Linked DNA regions of Caenorhabditis elegans. The protein of the gene in region 3 purifies or fractionates together with the protein of the main gene of each other region. This does not show direct contact. Each region holds a gene or a part of one and is shown on either strand. Other genes may lie near its edges.

Region 1 (4,201 bases), on a different chromosome or scaffold from region 3:
GCTCTATGGGATATTGCTGCTGATAAACAAGCAATGCAGCAAGAACAGCCTCTCCAAGTTGCCAGATGCACAAAAATTATCACCAGCGACAAGCACGATCCGCGTTACTTGATCAACGTAAAACAGTTCGCTAAGTTTGTTGTAGACCTTGCTGATTCCGTTGCACCTACTGATATTGAGGTTTGAAATTGTAATTAGATTTCACACATAATTGAAAAATGATTCAGGAGGGCATGAGAGTAGGAGTAGACCGTAACAAGTATCAAATTCATCTTCCGTTGCCCGCCAAAATTGATCCAACCGTCACAATGATGCAGGTTGAAGAAAAACCAGATGTAACATATTCGGATGTCGGAGGCTGCAAGGATCAAATTGAAAAGCTTCGAGAAGTTGTCGAGACTCCACTTCTTCATCCCGAGCGTTACGTTAATCTCGGAATCGAGCCACCAAAAGGAGTTTTGCTCTACGGTCCACCAGGAACAGGAAAGACGCTTTGCGCTCGTGCCGTTGCCAATCGAACAGATGCTTGCTTCATTCGTGTTATTGGATCAGAGTTGGTTCAGAAATATGTCGGAGAAGGAGCTCGAATGGTTCGTGAGTTGTTCGAAATGGCTCGTACCAAGAAGGCATGTCTTATCTTCTTTGATGAAATTGATGCTGTTGGAGGTGCTCGTTTTGATGATGGACAAGGAGGTGACAATGAAGTTCAACGTACTATGCTCGAGTTGATTAACCAACTTGACGGATTCGATCCACGTGGAAACATCAAGGTTTGTCTTTAATTCTTTATGGAAATAACCCAAAAAAATCTGTAATATAAATTTATTTATCTCTTGCTTTCTTGAAGGCAGTTTATATCATTAGTTCAGTCCTTTCATCCAAAAAAAAAGACACACATTTTTCGTTTGATAAGTTTCCAAAAAATTAATGCTTACATGTATTGTAAATATGAGTGTTTCATTAAAATAATTTGATATTTTCAGGTGCTTATGGCAACAAACAGACCGGACACTCTCGATCCCGCTCTCATGAGACCTGGTCGATTGGATCGTAAAGTCGAATTCGCTCTTCCAGACCTTGCAGGTCGTGCTCACATTCTCAAGATTCATGCAAAACAAATGAGCGTTGAAAGAGATATTCGTTATGATTTACTTGCTCGTCTGTGCCCAAACAGTACAGGAGCCGAAATTCGCTCAGTCTGCACCGAAGCTGGAATGTTTGCAATTCGTGCTAGAAGAAAGGTGGCAACTGAAAAAGATTTCCTTGAAGCTATCAATAAGGTTGTCAAGGGATATGCCAAATTCAGCGCCACTCCAAGATATCTGACACATAATTAATTGTACCCTATTCGGTTTTCATTCTCTTTCCGGTCCTCGATTAACTTATTTTCGCCCGTCCACCCATTTTTTTTTGTACAGATTCCCCATGTCTCCGATTTTTGTCTTATTTATTACATCCTATCGTCGTGAGATGCACCCAAGTTGGCCCAACACTGTCAGATGTATTCGTTTCGATTTTATGGATAAATGTGATTGGGTTTCTGACTATTAAAACTTGTATACACCAGTTTAAATGAATCTGAAAACGTGCCATAAAACCTTTTCATAAGAAGAGTAGTAATCTAAACGCGATTACGGTGTAATGCCAGAAAAAGTAAGAATAGAAGAAATTGGCAAGCGTATTTTAATGGTACTAATATTGTGCACACTTTACCTAGGAATATATTTTTCATCTCTACAATGTTGACTAGCGCCCTGAATGCTCCAAGGATACTGTTTTCCAACTAAATGTTCAACTGTTCAGTATTTATATTCTGCCTCCTAGAGGCGTTCAAAAATTGCGTATGCCACCCATGTTTCAGGGGACATCGCGGGCAATTGGGAAAAGTTTTCAACCAGCAATAAACGCACCTCGGCAAAGCCTCATTGGTCACGTTATCGCCCCAGCGCAAAGCTAAATTCAGCAGCTCACTCAGCTGATCCTATAAAACACAGCAACCGACAAATCGCGGCTTTCGCGCACAATGGTGCTTTCTGCATTCTGTATTCTTCGGAATGCGGCGCGTGTGCGTTGCGGTCGTCTTTTTCGAATTGCAATCGCTCGCGGTTTATCGGAGTCTCTCTGTTTTCTTGAAACGAATCTCTTCCCTTCGATTAAAACTGCATAAAAACTAATAAAAATCTCAAAATTGATTTTTCTTCTACTTTCTTAAGATCTGTAAAGTTTCGTTCCTCCGAATTCCTCTTTATGATTATTTAGAAAACCTCGCCCAATACCTTATTCTTCACTCTTATCGGTATTTTTTACATGAAATTATCATTGATTCTCAGCTAACCAATTTAATTTCAGGGACTTCTATCAAAATCAACTTTGATCATGTCGGCGTGAGTTCACATTGTTTTCATTGACCAGTAGTTTAAATTTATTTTTACAGCCAAGCCAAACCCCGTTCAGAGATGACTGCTGAAGAACTCGCTGCAAAGGAGGACGAGGAATTCAATGTCGGACCACTCTCCATCCTCACCAACTCAGTCAAAAACAATCATCAAGTTCTCATCAATTGCAGAAACAACAAGAAGCTTCTCGGAAGAGTTAAGGCTTTTGACAGGTTAGGTTTCTTAGAAATACTATTAAGTAAAAACTCACAAGTATTTGTCGGTAGTAAACTTCAGACAACATTTTTTAAAGAAAAGTGTTTCAAAAATAATATTTGAATCATCGATAGTGAACGTATTTTGGTTGTCGTCTCGATGCTGTAGCAAAATATCATTTACTATATATAATGCATTTATTCCGTTTGTCCATAGTTTGTAGTCTGTGAAGGTTTGGCTTAGTGTAGGGATATAGTCGGGGTACTGTAGTGGTACAATAGTGGTACGGTAGGAGTACTGTATGATTATGGTAGTTTCAGAAAAATTAGTTTTCAGCCCCAGAAGTCGGGGCAGCGCCAGAGGTGCGGTCCACGGCTGGTAGATTTAATAAAACGGCACGATCCTCCTGTGCTGTAACAAATTGTCGTGGCATCAAATTATTCAAACACGTATTGCTACGATTTCCAAAGGGAAAACACAAATCTTACACTAATATAAGTACTTTCTCATTTGCCGTAACTTTCGTGTCCCGCAAAGCATGCAAAATTCCAAGAGGAGTTTTCTACTATTGTTCGTATAAAAATAATTGGAACGTATAGTCTAATTCTTTACTTTTTCAGACATTGCAACATGGTCCTCGAAAATGTGAAGGAAATGTGGACTGAAGTGCCAAAGACTGGAAAGGGAAAGAAGAAGGCAAAGTCTGTCGCCAAAGATCGTTTCATCTCAAAAATGTTCCTCCGCGGAGACTCCGTCATTCTCGTCGTCAAAAACCCACTGGCACAAGCTGAATAATTCACCTTCAGAAAATCTCCCAATCAGTACGGTTTTCTCGTATTTGTTATGACACCTTACAATTTTCGAAATTTTCACTCTTGTTCTTCCCCCTCCCGTTCACCCTGTTGTTTCGTTTCAATGATCATCATTTTCCACTTTTTATTTATTGATAAACGTTCCTATTTAATACCACAGTCGTGTTTTTTTCTGAAGTTGAATCCGTATCCTCGCGGCAGATGATTTTTGTAGTTCTGCGTGATTGTTGCTTGAACTTGAAACCGGTTTTTCGATTTTTCGTCGATGTTGACTGTCAGTGCTATCAGAATATCATCGTCTTTCGTCTTCAAAGTTCAGGTTACTATTGGTCGTTATTTTTTGAATAAAAACGCTATATTCCACGTTTTTCATGAAATGTGATTTATTGCCATATTCCAAAAAATCAATTTCAGAAACGAAAAATGCCGATGGTCAGAGTTGCGACGAATCTACCAAATGAGAAGGTTCCTGTTGATTTTGAGGTTTGTGTTTTAATCAAACATTTTCTAAACGACTCAACAAACACTGAACAGTCTAGAGAAAATTTGTAGAAAAAAACAAGTATTTTAAGAGAAACAAATATGGTTCCCGGTCTCGACACGACGAGTTTTTTCGTTGCGAGAAAGTGTGCGCCTTTAAAGATTACTGTAATTTTATACTCGAGTTTCTGCAGAATTCTTAAAGATTTTATATAGTTTTTCTCACAATAAGTTTTTCAATGAAAATATTTTTAACGAAAAACTATGAACAATTGATGAAAATTCCTCAGCAAGGGAAGTTTAAAATTACAGTACTCT
Region 2 (3,861 bases), 1.7 Mb from region 3:
AATTCCCGCGTCTGGGTAAAACCCGTATAAAATCTAAAACGTTAAAAATTTCAGAACTATTTGACTGCTTACACCTACGAAATGCCAGCTGAAATTCGTGAACATGTGAATAGCATCAAAAACTGCGAGGACATTGCTATGAATTATTTAGTTTCTCATCTCACACGAAAACCGCCAATCAAAACGACTTCTCGATGGACGCTCAAGTAATTTCCAGATTTTAAATGAGTCTAATCTAATAATAATTTCAATTTTCAGATGTCCAACTTGCACGGAAAGCTTGTATAAAGAAGGGACACATTTCGAGAAACGCCACGAATGTATGCGATTGTTCACGAAAATCTACGGCTACAATCCTCTGAAATTCTCCCAATTCCGTGCTGACTCGATTCTTTTCAAGACGCGTCTCCCACAGAATCATCAAAAGTGCTTTAAATATGTGTAAAAAAATCCCCCTCTGCATTTGCTCACTTTCCCTATTGCCGGTATAATTCACTTGTCGAATGGTGCTACAATTTATTGCAACAAGTTGTTTAAAATTTTTTAGTCGAACATAAAATATAAAATAAATCATGGAGATTGAGAGTGATGAGCCAACCATTTCTTCAATTCATTCGCACAACGATCAAACAGCAAATGTACAATCCTTCTTCTACCCAAGCCAGCACTTTGAATTGTAGACACCGGTTGGGTATGCAAATTATTTTTAAGTTAAGAAATTAATTGGCATATGAAATGTATAAAATGGTAAATTTAGGTGGGATGGTTTTGTGAGATTTGAAAACAAGGATTTTGAAAGGTTAAAGTGTTTAAAGATCATCGTCGTCATCTGGAAGATCAGCCTTGGCGGCGTTGTCCAGATCCTTTTCGTATTCGGCAATCATGGCTGGGTCCATTTGAACCTGGAAATTAAAATATTGCTTATGAAAGAACATGGATTTAAAAATACCTCTGGAGGAGCCAAAGCTGGCATTGCGACAAACTCGAGGTTTGGATCTCCGAGCAGCTTTCTGGCGAGCCAGAGGAATGGCTTTTCGAAGTTATAGTTCGACTTTGCGGAGATGTCGTAGTATTGGAGGTTCTTCTTTCGGTGGAAGGTGATGGTCTTGGCCTTCACTTTACGGTCCTTGACGTCGACCTGAAATTTGTAATTGAATATATTGGCCAGTTTCAGCTAGTGATTACCTTATTTCCGCAGAGAACAATTGGAATGTTTTCACATACTCTGGCCAAATCGCGATGCCAGTTCGGGACATTCTTGTAGGTGACACGAGCGGTAACATCGAACATGATAATGGCGCATTGTCCTGGAAATTGGGCATTTCAGAAGTTATAATTTCGAATTTTAACATACCTTGGATGTAGTATCCGTCACGAAGACCACCAAATTTCTCCTGTCCGGCGGTGTCCCAAACGTTGAAACGAATTTGTCCGCGATTGGTGTGGAAGACAAGTGGGTGAACTTCGACTCCGAGAGTGGCTGAAAACAATTATTGAACTGGGAGAAACAAATTCCTGAATTACTTACCAACATACTTCTTCTCGAACTCTCCAGTCAAGTGACGTTTAACGAAGGTAGTCTTTCCGGTTCCTCCATCTCCGACAAGGACAAGCTTGAAAGTTGGGATGCCGTCTCCACCAGACATGACTGAAATGAGGAGATGAGGAGAATAAAATACGAAGGAAAAAGATTGTCAAGAGGAAAATAGCACGAAACTTTTCGAAAATGCGAATTATTGCGAAATTCTACGTATTACCGAAGCTTCAGTTGAAAATCACGAAGCGGTGGATAAATATTTCAAAAACAAGAATGTTCGGATAATGTGTATTTAGAATTGAGCAAAAAAGTTTTAGAAGAGACGTGAAGCTGAGCAGAGAGATTATCTCGTGATCAGAGCTTGCTCATGGAGCAAAATCAGAGAGAACTCGAAAATTACAGTGAACCAACTGAGGAAACAACGCAAATGCATCAAAATGAATGAAAAAACCGAAAAAAGATGACAAAACTTGGCGCCAGGGACAAGAAAAGTATTCGAAAATGGCGCAACAAGCCAGATTTGCGCGCCAAAATGAACAAAATTCGAAAATGTTTTTGCGTAGAACCCCGTGTGTGTTGAGGCATAGGGGCACACACGCAGCCTGTGTCTCTTTCGTCTGGCACACTGCCAATGGGGGTTTCTTCTCTCGTTTTTCAAAAAATCGATAGTTTTCTGGCAGGTTTTCTGCTTCTTGACACTTTCCACGAGCTTATGAGGCATATTTGGAGTTCATTAGAACCTTATTAATCTTTAAACTCTTGTTAATCGCTTCAGAACTGTTGGATTTTGTCAATAATGTTATTTTTTCAGCGAAGATCTCATCATGGGCAAGAAGGATAAGCGTTCCAAGCTTGAGGGAGACGATCTAGCTGTTAGTTTTTAATTTTCAAGCCATTTATTAAATATTGAGTACATTTTCATTATTTCAGGAGGCTCAACAGAAGGGATCATTCCAACTTCCATCCTCGAACGAAACCGCCAAGCTCGATGCTTCCCAGTGGCCACTTTTGCTCAAGGTAGTTGAGTGATCTCATTTAAAAATTAAATTATTATTTCAGAATTACGACAAATTGAATGTGCGCACCAATCACTACACACCACACGTCGAGGGAGTATCACCATTAAAGCGTGACATCAAGAACTACATTTCGTCTGGATTCTTCAATCTTGACAAACCATCGAACCCATCTTCTCACGAAGTCGTGTCCTGGATCAAGAGAATTCTTCGTTGCGAGAAGACCGGACACAGTGGAACACTCGATCCAAAAGTATCGGGATGTCTGATCGTTTGTATCGACCGTACCACTCGTTTGGCCAAGTCGCAGCAAGGAGCTGGAAAGGAATACATCTGCATCTTCAAGCTCCACGAGGAAGTTGAGGATGATCGCAAGGTGAAGCAAGCCCTCGAGAAGCTCACCGGAGCCCTCTTCCAACGCCCACCACTGATCTCAGCTGTCAAGCGTCAGCTTCGTATTCGTACCGTTTACGAGAACAAGTTCATCGAGTATGATCCAGCTCAACAGATGGGAATTTTCAAGTAAGAATCCTTATAATAAATCTAATTTCTAGTTTTCATTTAATTTCAGCTGCATCTGCGAGTCGGGAACCTACGTTCGTACAATTTGTGTGCATCTCGGTCTCATCCTCGGATGCGGAGGTCAAATGCAAGAGCTTCGCAGAAACAGATCCGGAATCTGCGATGAAAACGAGAATATGGTCACAATGCACGACGTTCTCGATGCTCAGTATCTCCTAGACACCCAGAAAGACGAGAGCTACATGAGACACATCGTTCGTCCACTTGAGGCTCTTCTCACCCAGCACAAGAGAGTTGTTGTCAAGGACAGTTGCATCAACGCGATCTGCTACGGAGCCAAGATCCTTATTCCCGGAATTCTTCGTTACGACGATGACATCGAGGTTGGCAAGGAGATCGTCATCATGTCGACGAAGGGAGAAGCCATCTGCATCGCTATTGCTCAGATGAACACATCAACGATCGCTTCAGTCGATCACGGAGTCGTTGCCAAGTCGAAGCGTGTCATTATGGAGCGTGATGTGTACGGAAGAAAGTGGGGACTTGGACCGGTTGCATCCAAGAAGAAGCAAATGGTCAAGGACGGACTTCTAGACAAATTCGGAAAACCAAATGACACTACTCCAAAATCGTGGGCCAAGGAGTACGTTCAAACTTCGACGAAGAAAGAAGTCAAGAAAGAGGAGACGCCAGACGAGGAAGAGGAGGAGGCACCGAAGAAGAAATCCAAAAAGTCCAAGAAGCAAGAGTCGAGTGATAGTGATAGCGATTAAGCTCATTTTTATG
Region 3 (8,593 bases):
TTTCAAAAGCTCATCGACGCGGCTGATGTGACAATTTTTGGAGTTCGAATCAAATTTGCTATTGAGTCAGTGCTAAAAATGGTCTCCGAGGCTCCGTATATTACGGTATAGTTTTTTCTAAGAATGCGTATTGGACAGCATATTTGACGCGCAAAATATGAAATATCTCGCAGCGAAAACTACAGTAATTCGTTGAATGGCTACTGTAGCGCTTGTGTCGATTTACGGGCTCGAATTTTTTTCAATTCGAGCCCGTAAATCGACAACTCTCCAGCAGTCTCATTTAAAGAATTACTGTAGTTTTCGCTACGAGATATTTCACATTTTGCGCGTCAAATATGTTGTGCAATACGCAATTCTCGGAATTTTGTGCTCTCCGTAATATAATAGTGAAATTTTAGGTAAAAGTAAGCGATGCTCTATTCGACGGATACGAAGACCCGATAATCGATATCGTTTGTAAAAATAAAATTCTTCAATTCCTCTGCGAAACGAATTCTCTTCAGCGGAGAGTTGGATTCTTTTATGGGGTAAGATATGAGTTTGCAAGGTGCCGCACAGAAAAATAGGCGGAGCCAAATTTTGCGCAACCATGCCGCACGGTTTTCCTTCCAAAATATTGATTTTTCTTCAGCAAAATGGAACAACAGACGGAATATACGAAGTGGATGCTGGCGTGCCATCTCCATCGAAAATCGGTCATTTATACACGTGGAATAATATGACAGAAATGCCCGAAGGAACATGGGATACTAAATACGCACGAATGATTAACGGAACCGATGGACAATTGTTCAGTCCGATGCTGAAACGAGAAGACAGATTGACGATATTTGTGCCGCAAATATGTAGATCAATTCAAATGGAATACACAAAAGATGTCGCTGTGAATGGGGTTCCTTCGTGGAGATATGCACCACCTTTGGATCTTTACGATCCTGCTCTTCCGCAGAATCGAGCATTTTGTAATAAGAATGGAATGCCGCGATATTTTGATAATACTACTGTGCAAATTGGTGAGAGAGAGAGAGAGAGTTTTATTTTAAAAAATTCGATTGTAAATTTAAATTTAAATTTTAATATTAATTTTTCCAGAAAACTGCCTCCCTGCCGGTCTTATCGACTTGTCACGATGCCAAGCCGGCAATCCACGTGTCTATCTATCCAATCCACACTTCTACAACTCACCAATGGAGCTGTGGCATTCCGTCACTGGGCTCTCGGTGCCAACTGCTTCAAATGACCTGACTGTTGTAGATATTGAGCCAACTGCCGGCGTTCCAACTCAAGCGAAAAGAATTATGCAGATTAATGTGGGAATGGTCAAGGGATCCTTGAGGTTTACCTATTACGAAATTGAAATCTCTAATAATTATCGATTTTTCAGTGTCACCGAAAACACGACAAACGTCGTTGTTCCAGTCCTTTGGATGAACGAAACTGCGTATTTCGATCAAGGAACTCGTGATCAGCTGATTAATATTTTCAACGCAAAACATTATTCATTTATTGGAGGTGTTATCAGCTTGTCACTTGGTCTTATCGCCTGGCTTGCCGTTTTTGTTGTAATCATTGTTTATTCGGTAATTATATTATTGTTGGTTTTCTGCAAAATTCAATTTCCTCTAATTTACAGCGACAATCCGACGAAGAAGAGTACGGACGTCTTGTGCTGGAGGATGAGGACGAAGAGCCTGCGCAAGACGAGAACGCAGTTTTGGCATAAATTTAAAAATTTAAATCATTTTTAATCATATTGTGATAATTTCGAATTTTTGATGCAGGTTGCAATAATTCTGGTGCTCACACGACTTAATATGGCACTTTTTCTTGTAAATATTAATTGAATAAATGATTTTTTTCGAAATTTTTTTTTATTTTGACGAAATCCCGCGAGAGGGAGAGAGAGAGAGAGCACGCGAAAAGAAGAGACGCAGATGCGCGGGATTAAAGGCGCGTTTTTTTTCACGCGTGGGTCCCACCACGCGTCGAGACCTGGTTGCCGCCAAAACAATGTATTCAAATTTTGCAACTCGATTTTAAACGTTTTTCGATTTTTTGACGTGAATTTTCACATTTTTCCTGTTTTTTGACACGTTTTCCACGAATTTTGCCCGATATAAACGCGTATTAGTCAATTTTAATTATTTTCTACAAGAAAAGCTGCGAAAAGTGCGTCGTTTTACGAATTCGTTGAAACTGTTCGCAAGTTTTGATGAGATTTTCTTGGAAACATTGTTTTCTTGCAGAACTACACTGTAAATACAATGGGGGATCAATTCGATTCTCTAATGGAACGCATACGAGTTCGGCAAGCCGAAATGTCAGGCGAAGGAGAGGTGGCAAAGGAGAATGGGCCAGTGACCTCAAAAATTACATCTGTGAAGCAAGAAGGTATATTTTGGGGTTTTTAAGAATACAGAAATATAAATATATTAATTAATATGTTTGATTTTCAGTTGCATCTCCAACAAAAGTCTTCGGAAGCTCCTCAAAATGCAACGACGGCCCGTCAACTCCAGTGCATTTTCACCCTCAAGAGCCAAAGGAGACAACTCCAAATATGAAGGAAAACGCTGAAAATTCATTAAATTCGTTCAAAGATGCCACAGTCAACGAGTCAAGCTCCAAAAAGACGTCGAGATTCTCAATGTTGGCTCAAGAAATCGATGAATACGAATATGACTACCAATCACAGTACAATAAGCCGAAAGAAGCATATATGAAGGGAAGATCTCCACGAATGTCGATCGGAGAGACACGTCCAGCAGTCCTGTGTACTCCGGCTGGAGCACAAGCCATGAAAAGCCCAAATGTAGCGGTATCGTCGAAAAGTGCTCCCGAAATCGCTCTCGGAATGTCGGATTTCGAAGCTCGCCGCATCAAATTCGCCCAGCCAATTGTGAATGTGAACTATCTGCCCAACGAATCGTCGATTTTCTCCGGAGGATCCGGATCATCTGTAAACGATCAGAGCACTGTGCTCGGAGGCTCTGCCGAAATGATGAACGTCACCACGTCGTCGCTGAGCTGTGGAGAGCTGTCGATGAATCAGCATATAACACACGAAAATACGATTATCAACGCACAATCGTGTGATAATCGAGAGGCGATTTTGAGAGAAAGACAGCAAGTTTCAAACGAAGAATATGGACCGCACACATTTATGAGAAAGGTAGAATGTTGGGAAAAGTCAATGTCCCTTTAACGAGCTCGTGTACTGTGCGTGGACAATCGCGAATTTATTTTCGTGCAGGATTTCACGGTTTTTCGTTAATTTTTCTCATTCAAAATTGCCAATCTACCTAATATTGTCGTATTTTCTCAAGATTTTGACTTGCCTTCTTAAAGGTGGATTACGCTCATTGGGGAAATTGCTTTAAACCCGCCTATGGGGTCACAATGACCGAATATCATAATAAAAAAATTTTCTAGGTTTTATATGATTTTTTGAAAATTGAAAAAATCTCAGTTTTTGCCTAATTCCTATTTGAATTACCGCCAATTGGATTTGTTCGATGGAGCGCGCTTGCGCGTTTTTAAATTTATTTATTTTATTTTTTTTTGTTATTTTCCACCGATTTTTCATGTTTTCTGTGTATTTTTACAGAAAATTTGAAGGAAAAGTCAAGACAAATGCAAATTTTCGATTAAAAAGCACGCTTACGAGCGTAAAAATGGAAAAGTAACGCTTTTAAACGATTTCGAACCTGAATTAATTAATTTCACTGATTTACGCCTGTACGTTTGCTTTTTAATCGAAAATTTGCATTTATCTTGACTTTTTCTCTAAAATTCGAGCAAAAATACACCGAAAACATTAAAAAATTGGTGGAAAATAACAAAAAATAAAATAAATGAATTTAAAAACGTGCAAGCGCGCTCCATCGAACAAATCCAATTGGCGGTAATTCAAACAGGAATTAGGCAAAAACTGAGATTTTTTCAATTTTCAAAAAATCATATAAAATTTAGAAAATTTTTTTGAATTTTTTTAATCATGATATTCGGTCATTGTGGTACCATAGGCGTGTTTTAAAGCAATTTCCCCACTGAGCGTAGTCCACCTTTAAAGGCGCATGGATGTATTCAGATGGGTCTCAGCGCGCCAAAAGTTTATTGCTTCGTATAGCGAATTTTGTCGATAAAAATCGCTTAAAACAACGTAATTTCAATGAAAAATAAAAAACAATTTAATCATAAACTTTTTAGCGCGACGAGACCCATCGGAATAAATCCTTGCGTTTTTAGGAAGACATGTCTTGTAAAATTACAATATATAATAGGTAGACTGGCAGTTTTAAATGCAGAAAAATGGACGAAAAGTGAAAAATCACCCTTTTTAGCGAAAAATTGTGAAATCCTGCAAGAACATAAATTCACGTTTGTCCACGCATAGTACACGAGCTCGTAAATCTACACAAATCTTAAAGGGACATAGCCTTAAAAATGAGATTTTGAGAAACATTTTTCGATAATAACTCCAAAATACATAGTCCGCACGCCTTTTTTAGTGATAATTTCGCACGCTTTCGAGAAAATCCTTTGTTGCCTAATCCTTTTGTTTTTTTTTTGTCGTGTAGAAGGTGCCAAAAGAAGCTTCATCTGCGACATCATCATCATCGTCAACGACAACTTTAACTACGATCTCCGGTGCATCAGGCTCTACAACGTCTGGAATATCGAATGCTCCACAGGACTCGGCTTCAACAAAAACCACGACTAATACATTTACTTCTTCGTATTTGCTCACTAAAACCTCGAACAACAACATCAATGCACTTGTCTCGTCGTCGCCAAAACCGTTTTCTAAAGATATCGGAAGATCCATGTTCTCGCCTGTGCATTTTGTATGTTTTTTTGGTTTTTTGCTTCACGCCTCTATCACCTCACCTACTAACTGCTCTCTTTCAGACTCCAAAAAGCACGTCGTCACCGAAAACTCTGTCGGAGAGCATCTTCTCGCCATCGAAATCCGCCGCAGTCGAAGGATCAATTGCGACTACGAGACGGCTTCAGTTTGAGGAGAAATTGAAGAAAAGTAGTAGCGCGAATGTTGTGAGTAGATATGATGTGGAAAATGCTCTTGGCAGCTGATTATTGCGACTGATTGGAAATTAAAAAATATTTAATTAAACTAGAAAAAATCCCCCCTGCAAAACACGATTGTTGCGATTTTGCATCCGTGACATTTTGAATTTCCACTGAAAATAGCAGATTTTTCAGATTCATCAAATTTTTAGCTTTAAAAATTTTATTTTCTGCATTTTCCGAACAAACTTTTTCGTTAAACAGTGAAAATCGAATTTAAAATGACTAAACTGAACATTTTTCGTCCACTGGTTGTGAAATGGATTGAATTTGAAAAAATCAATGGGATTTTTCTTATTTTCTAGATATTTTTCTATTAAAAATGTATTAAAACCGATTTTCAATAGAAAAATTTTTAGAAAATAAGAAAAATCCCGTTGATTTCTTCAAATTCAAAACATTTCACAGCCAGTGGACGAAAAAGGTTCATTTTAGTCATTTTAAATTCGATTTTCACTGTTTAACGAAAAAGTTTGTTCGGAAAATGCAGAAAATAAAATTCTAAAGCTAAAAATTTGATAGTTCTGAAAAATCTGCTATTTTCAGTGGAAATTCAAAATGTTGCGGATGCAAAAAGCCAAACCGGATTTCTCTCCATTTCCAGACAGCGCCTCCTGCACCTACATCAGCACCAGTTCCAACGCCACGCCACGTGGCTCCATTGGCACCTACAGTAGCCCAGCAGAGCCACTTGACTCCAAACCATCGTCATGCTGCTCAACAAAAGAAGCACCTGTTCCCCGTAGTGGGGATCGTCGCGACTGCACCGATTCCAGTTCAAACTCAATGGAGAGGACAATCGAATACTCCAGTTGTGCAGGGAGCTCGTGCCGACGAGAAGACTGCTGGTAATGAGCCACCAGTTGGAGCCGGAGTTGGAAAGCTGAAGAATTTGAAGTCGAGATGGGAGTTTTCGTCGGCAACTGGCACGCCAATACATCCTGATGCTACCGAAGATTCGTTGATTGCTACGGCAATTAAGATGAAGGAGAGTGCGATTCCGAAACAGCTTGGTCACAGATCAGAGCGAAAAGGACCATCCGCCTCGTCGCTCTACTCGCAAGGTGCTCGGAGTAACACGGCTTCTCCTGCATCGAAAAGTACTCGTTATGAGCAAGAAGAAGAAGATGATGTGTTTGAAGCTCCAGAATTTAATGATGGAGGAGACGTGATATCAGAAGATGGAATTCTTCAGGAAGAAGAAGAGGATACTTCTAAATTCATTGATAATGCATTTGGATTTATGGAAGGATCTGGGGCTGGAACGCCGAGCCCATATCGCGAGCCTCCGTTGCAACGTTTGGAAAAGAATAGGCCGCCGGCGGAGGTTATTGAAGAAGAAACTGAAAATGAGGATGAATCTGAACCCTATGAGCCGGAAGAAGAAGAGGATGACGATGCAACAACACAATTTCCTGTACCTGAAAGATCACGAAAATCAAGTTCTCAACTGGCCTACTCTGTTTCGTTTTATCGAAAAATTCAACGAGACAGAAACGAAGAATCGTCGACAGTGCTGGCCGGGCCAGTTATCAGTCAAATCAGTCCATCTGCTCCGCCGATGTCATCATCGCTCACATCACAACAGAAACTTCGACAGCTCACCACCGGGCCTGCGAATGGAGCACGAATTGTCGAGTCGGCTAAGGATGCTCACGATCGTATCAAGCGAGCGATTCAAGTTGAAGAGCAGCTTGTTGCTCAATCCAAGAGAGCAATGATATTGGCCCGGGATAAGCCAAGTTTCCGTGGATCGCGTGAGGAATTTGAAGCACAATGGGCAATGCTTCGTCATGTGGAAAAGCATCGAGCACTTCTCACTGAGTATGATCGATTGAAACGAGATGGACCGAGAATGTTAGTTTTTTTTTTCCGAATTTTTTTTTCACCTAAAAAAATATTCAATTTTTTTCCAGTATCGATGGACCACGTGGAACGATAACAGTATCCCAGTTGTCAGTGAACATGGCTCGTGATTATGTGTCAGCTAATATTGCGTCAAGCAAGAAATCCGATGAAGTCTTCTATTTCGCGGCGATTCTCCGCTACGGCGAGCAAGTCGACGTGTCGAAAATGGTGACAAGCGACGGTGGTCTGAATCGTCGTGGTGTTCTCGAGTTTCCCGTACCACTGATGTTGACCGGGATTCCACCGGATTTCCGAGCAACTGTCGAGATTTATGGACAACGATCGATGCGAGAATCGACGTCGCACGAGGATAAGTACAAGTTGAAGAATTCGACGTTTAAGGCGAAGGTTTGTTTGTTTTTTTCCGAAATATTTGTCATATTTTACATACTCGTCCGTTGAAAATTCGAAATGTCTGCTGCTATAGAATATCGACAAATGGTGTTGTTATGATGTTGTTGATGAGTGTGAGCATGAATCGAGAATGACAGCTGCTGAAAACTTAGCAAGTGAGGAGAAGAAGAGAGTGCCCCTACCCTGTAGATTGTGGAGAAGATTGCATGATGTATGTCTGTTTGTTTGTTTGTTTGTTATTGTCAAATGTCTTGTTCTTCTGTTTTCTGTTAATAATGTATCATAACTTCATCTTCTTCACGTTCCGGCAAGTGGTACATCCATGCAAATGCGCTCTACTGATAATTTGAGTGTAGACCAGGTTTGGGCGCGTGATAACGAAAAAAGCTTTGGTCCAAAAAATGTAGAATTTAATATCGGGCATTTTTTATATGCATCACAAAAAAACTGGACAACTGTTTTTGAGATACACGCGCCCAAACGTCCAGGTATACGGTAGACAAATTGCGTACAGGTACCACTTCTCGGGCCGTGTTCTTAAAGCCGCACAGATTTATTCATATGGGTCTCGGCGCGCCGTTGTTTTAAGCGAATTTTTCGCTACATACTCGCAAGCAATTTGATTGCAAAATGGAAAATAAATGAGGTTATCATGCGCTCCGAGACCCTTCTGAATAAACCCGTGCGCCTTTAATTAGACGTGTATATCAATAGAACCTGGAAATAAGTAATATTTCTAGACTCGTAACACATTCCTGGGCGGCGGATCAACTTCATCAGCAAACCAGAGCCTATTCGTCGATCCAGCAGCATCGTCATCATCAACTTCGTCGACCACATCCAACTTCAATTTGCTCGGAACATTCTCGTTCGACATCAATTGCCCTGGAAAACATTTGTACAACATGTCACATACTGTATATCCGCTCGAAGGTATTACACAGATGAAAGTACGCAAACAGGCGATCGATGGAGCTGATATCACTTATCACGGATTCTTGTCAATGTATCAGAGAACTGGCGAGGGGCTCGGATCGTGGACGAGATACTGGTGTGCTCTTGAGAATGGAGAGATGAAGTTTTGGAAGCAGCCAGAAGATGAGGGAACTAAGGTTTTTAAATTTTTATTTTTTTTGTCTAAAATTAAACTTTTTTTATTGTAGGGTTACACTGCACTAATGGATCTTTCAACGTGTTGCCGTTCCGAAGGTGCATCGGTAGTTGAAGACATTTGCCCATT
Region 4 (3,739 bases), on a different chromosome or scaffold from region 3:
AGAAACAGAAAAAAGAATGTGTGAAATAAGTGGGGACTCTGCTGCATCTGTCCGTTATTCAGAATAGAACCTAGAGGTGCTTCTCACCTGAATAATAATAAAAGTTATGAAGAGAATATAGAGAAAATAGAAGACGGACGAAGGAAAATGACGGAGAAAAGAGTCCTTCTTCGTCCGGAAAACTGCAATCTTTCACTGCCACCAGTTACGAAGCGTTTTGACGAATTTCAATGAAAAAAGCGGCTCAGAAAAGGGGAAAAGCATAAAAGCATACGAAGAAAAGAGTTAACACTCATCCGTCCTTCAAAAATGGACAAATTTTGATCCCTCGCTACTCGTTTCCGTTAAGTCTTTGCTCTCCTTTTTTCGTTCCGTTTTGTTCCAAGTTTCTTGTCTCTCAATCCTGATGATGTCCATAGGGTTCGCATTGATTCAGTTTATTTTATATTTTCACATTTTATTTGACTTCAGCTGATCTCTATGACACTTCGAACTTCTGATTCTTACATTTTAACTATTTTCAGATGCGGTTTCTACACCCACCTGTCATTCTTTTATTACTGGTGCCCGTTTCTATGGCTATCATTCAGTGTACTCACTACAGAGTCCCACAAGGACAACCGATTCCGAAGGCTGAGCGAAACGTGAGTTCAACTGCTATTTGTATTGATAAGATTTTGCATTGCTTCAGCCAAGATGCCATTCGAAAGCAGAATATTGTGTGAAGGTCACCGGAAGCAGCGTAGGAACTAATCTTCCGTTCATTTCGGGCCGATGCGAGCATGCTGGTGAATGCAAGGACCACGGAAATGACTGCTTCACCAGAACCGACACTCAAGGAAAAGAGGAAGAAATCTGTTGCAGCTCTGGAAACTTCTCAAACCACGGATCAACCACTCCGCTTTTCACTTCTATCGCACTTTTCATCACATTGCTTATTATGTTTTGTTGAAGTCAATTTTAGTAATAAACTCGCCAAGCTATAAATTTCGAACAATTTTTTAAACAACATTTCATTAAAAACAAAACAACGTTTTACTTTTGGGCCTTCTTCAGTTTGGCGAGCTCCACTCGGACGATTCTGTTTCTCATCTGCTTGGCCTTCATGAGCTTGTATCTCTCGAAGTCGGTGAGCTTGGCTCTCTGCAAGTAAAAATGGTTAAAGTGAGCCGAAAATGCTAATTTTAATACAAAAACCAAGCTAACTTTAAAAATATCGGAAATAGTGACTTACGATAGCTCTTTGAGCGATCTTCTTGGCCCATTGAGTCTTCTGGAAGTTCTCGGTGACCTTGGCGGCATCGAAAGCTGCCTTAACTCCCTTGGTGCGTTGTCCAACACGGAGCTTGAGGACGAACTTGGTGAGCTGAAGATCCTTCAAGTTTCTGACGGTGCGAGTGACATCGGAGGATGGTCCATCGATTTGAACCTGAAAATAACAATTAGAAGCCTGTATTTATGTTTTCTTGGGGCTACGTGTTTGCTTAAAACAAACGCTCAGCTAAATTTATATCGATTATATTCGAAACAATTTCAAAAGGGAAGTTGTGATTAATCATAAATTAACAATCTAATTACTAATTGTTCAGTAAATCACTTTAACGAGCATATTTCAGTGATGATTTCACTATTTAATGATTCAGAGCTATGCTTTCCGATTTTTGCATTTTACAAACATTTCTGATCGCATTGATAATCTAAACGTTTTAAAAAGTTTAAGTAAAATTCAATAAATCTGCTATACATTTTTTTTTCTTAATTAATAAATGACTTACTCTGTTTCCGTCGATAACGTTGACGATGGCAGCAAGCTTGCCTTGGTCTTTGCCGGAGGCGATGAAGACGACGCGCCCAATTTGAACGACACGGTTGAAGACCATGTTTACTGAAAATTAAATAATAAATCAAAATTATAACGCGTACATTGAGAAGTGAAGAAACACCGAAAAAATTGACTTCACCAGCTAAAACGATATATTTTGAGCAAAAACTTATGATTTTAGTATTAATCGATAGACAAACTGGTTCTGAATTTTTCTTATATCGTTTTTATCACAGAAACAACCGAAAAATATCAAAAATTTGCTGAAAAAGAAGAAAATTTGGGAAAAAAATCGCAAAATGAGTAAGACAGCCATAGGCTACGGTGACAATTTCGTGGCGAGACCCACATGGGGCGGGACACGTGCAAGTATGCGGCGCACCCAACGCAACTGCGGCGCAGTTTATCTCATCTTTTTCATTGTAGGAAGGGGAACTTTGCTCAATTGTTTGCTCTTATGTAATTTCAGTGATTAATGTATGTATTTGTACTGAACCTGTATGAATTTCATTAAACCGGTGAATTTTCAAAAAAGTCGTGTTCATATTTTAGGAAAAAGCAACTTAGTCCAGTTTTTCGATATAAATTGCATTTTGTAAATTAATACAGGATGCATGGTAAAGTTTTATTACTGAAAACAAAATAAATAAAAACAATTCTGCGATATTCAGTAAACATAACGGGAATCAATTAATTTAACTGCATCATCTTCTGCCATTTGATTCATAGCATCGCGCAATCGGGAAATTGATGAGTCTTCAAGTTGTTCAAATTGGTCCAAAAGAATCATAGTCGGGCTTGAATCGTCTCCCGATGAGCAAATAGAAATAAGTTCCACCATGTGATCACAATTGAGTTGTTGTGCCAATCTTTGCCATTTGCACTGATCATCAAATATTTTTGCAACGCGAATTCGGGTCAAATAATCTAAATTGCAGACCGAATCACTAAGCTTCGGATTCCGATCCCATTCACTTCGACGCCTTCGTGTTCCCGACGATGTTGAGGGTCCCGGCTGTTGCTCATCTTCAGATTCAGATGTGGATATTCTCGAAACACGTGGAGCCATGGAGTCAGTTTCAGCGAGAAGAGTTTGAGCGTCTACAAAAACGGATCTAATTTCAAAAAATCTTTCAGAAAACATACCATTTAATATTTCTTCTCTAGATCTCTTCACAACTCTGTGCCGCCCACTCTCTTCACCTGGAGCCTGATCTGGATGAGATCTCCCAAATAAGGGAGATCTAGAAATAGCTAAATCATTAGGAACACCAAAAGCTTCTTTCTTGGGTAGTTCGGGTCTATCTCCATTTATAATGTTTTGAATAACACTATCTTCACTATCTGCCAAGCATATTCCTTTAGAATTTTGTCTATTCGGATCAGCTCCATTATCTAAAAGAAGGCCAATCACTGGATAGTTAACGTTTTTTACAGCCAAGCTCAATGCAGTCTCTCCAGATTCATCTTCTATATTTGTTCCTGATCCTCTCTGAAAAAATATTAAATTTAAAACAATGTTTTTCTATGTACAGTTACCTCAACCAAAAGCTGAATAGTCTCAAAATCATTCATTTCAATTGCGTGCATCAACGCATTTCTTTTCTTTTCAGTATCCAAAAAATCAATCAATGCTCCCGCTTCAATGAGCATCTCAATCAACGACAGCTTCAACCTTCTTACTGCCACGTGAATCGGTGCAAATCCCTCCGAATTCAGCTGATTCACATCAAACCGTTGACCTCTAGATGGTTCTAATATTTCTTTGAAAATTGATTCATTGTATGCATCTCCAAGATAATGTAGAGCCTGAGAAGTATTGAATAATCTACACAAAGCGAACATTTTGTCTGTTATATACTTACTGTGCTCCCATGATTATCTGATATGTCAATTTTGGCTCCATGATTCATGAGA

Evidence for each region.
Region 1: the proteins of ani-1 (region 3) and snr-4 purify together in Caenorhabditis elegans (affinity purification with mass spectrometry, with the first as the bait; one large-scale study listed by BioGRID). This does not show direct contact.
Region 2: the proteins of ani-1 (region 3) and ran-1 purify together in Caenorhabditis elegans (affinity purification with mass spectrometry, with the first as the bait; one large-scale study listed by BioGRID). This does not show direct contact.
Region 4: the proteins of ani-1 (region 3) and rpl-14 purify together in Caenorhabditis elegans (affinity purification with mass spectrometry, with the first as the bait; one large-scale study listed by BioGRID). This does not show direct contact.

The regions. Positions count from the first base shown.
Region 1 is NC_003283.11:11,977,872-11,982,072, reverse strand, and holds snr-4 (putative small nuclear ribonucleoprotein Sm D2), read left to right. Parts: upstream 1-2,349; 5' UTR 2,350-2,376; coding exon 2,377-2,384; intron 2,385-2,434; coding exon 2,435-2,608; intron 2,609-2,739; exon of another isoform or gene 2,740-2,760; intron 2,761-3,211; coding exon 3,212-3,386; 3' UTR 3,387-3,565; downstream 3,566-4,201. Other genes in the region: rpt-1 (26S proteasome regulatory subunit 7), read left to right, coding at 1-180, 228-770, 984-1,337; MIF-like protein mif-2, read left to right, coding at 3,669-3,722, 3,818-3,886. UniProt on the Caenorhabditis elegans protein: Plays a role in pre-mRNA splicing as a core component of the spliceosomal U1, U2, U4 and U5 small nuclear ribonucleoproteins (snRNPs), the building blocks of the spliceosome.
Region 2 is NC_003281.10:10,746,081-10,749,941, forward strand, and holds ran-1 (GTP-binding nuclear protein ran-1), read right to left. Parts: upstream 1,649-3,861; 5' UTR 1,647-1,648; coding exon 1,529-1,646; intron 1,481-1,528; coding exon 1,355-1,480; intron 1,308-1,354; coding exon 1,186-1,307; intron 1,139-1,185; coding exon 950-1,138; intron 903-949; coding exon 810-902; 3' UTR 501-809; downstream 1-500. Other genes in the region: rib-2 (Exostosin-like-3 homolog), read left to right, coding at 55-206, 259-445; dkc-1 (Putative H/ACA ribonucleoprotein complex subunit 4), read left to right, coding at 2,362-2,409, 2,468-2,554, 2,597-3,075, 3,125-3,848. UniProt on the Caenorhabditis elegans protein: Ran GTPase system comprises ran-1, ran-2 and ran-3 and is essential in nucleocytoplasmic transport. Ran-1 is a GTP-binding protein that mediates the interaction between mitotic chromosomes and kinetochore microtubules.
Region 3 is NC_003281.10:12,446,859-12,455,451, reverse strand, and holds the start of ani-1 (Anillin-like protein 1), read left to right. Parts: upstream 1-2,249; 5' UTR 2,250-2,267; coding exon 2,268-2,394; intron 2,395-2,459; coding exon 2,460-3,175; intron 3,176-4,583; coding exon 4,584-4,850; intron 4,851-4,914; coding exon 4,915-5,058; intron 5,059-5,695; coding exon 5,696-6,948; intron 6,949-7,007; coding exon 7,008-7,347; intron 7,348-8,093; coding exon 8,094-8,465; intron 8,466-8,516; coding exon 8,517-8,593. Other genes in the region: scav-3 (Sensory neuron membrane protein 2), read left to right, coding at 1-105, 402-530, 635-1,016, 1,096-1,339, 1,388-1,583, 1,637-1,726. UniProt on the Caenorhabditis elegans protein: Required for contractile events in embryos that occur prior to mitosis, such as cortical ruffling and pseudocleavage. Promotes membrane ruffling by organizing cortical patches of septins and myosin II. Not generally required for cytokinesis in mitotic cells.
Region 4 is NC_003279.8:9,687,343-9,691,081, reverse strand, and holds rpl-14 (Large ribosomal subunit protein eL14), read right to left. Parts: upstream 1,886-3,739; 5' UTR 1,881-1,885; coding exon 1,776-1,880; intron 1,430-1,775; coding exon 1,235-1,429; intron 1,144-1,234; coding exon 1,036-1,143; 3' UTR 1,001-1,035; downstream 1-1,000. Other genes in the region: nssp-7 (Activin_recp domain-containing protein), read left to right, coding at 525-644, 692-952; ikb-1 (Death domain-containing protein), read right to left, coding at 2,490-2,923, 2,969-3,314, 3,362-3,631, 3,688-3,739.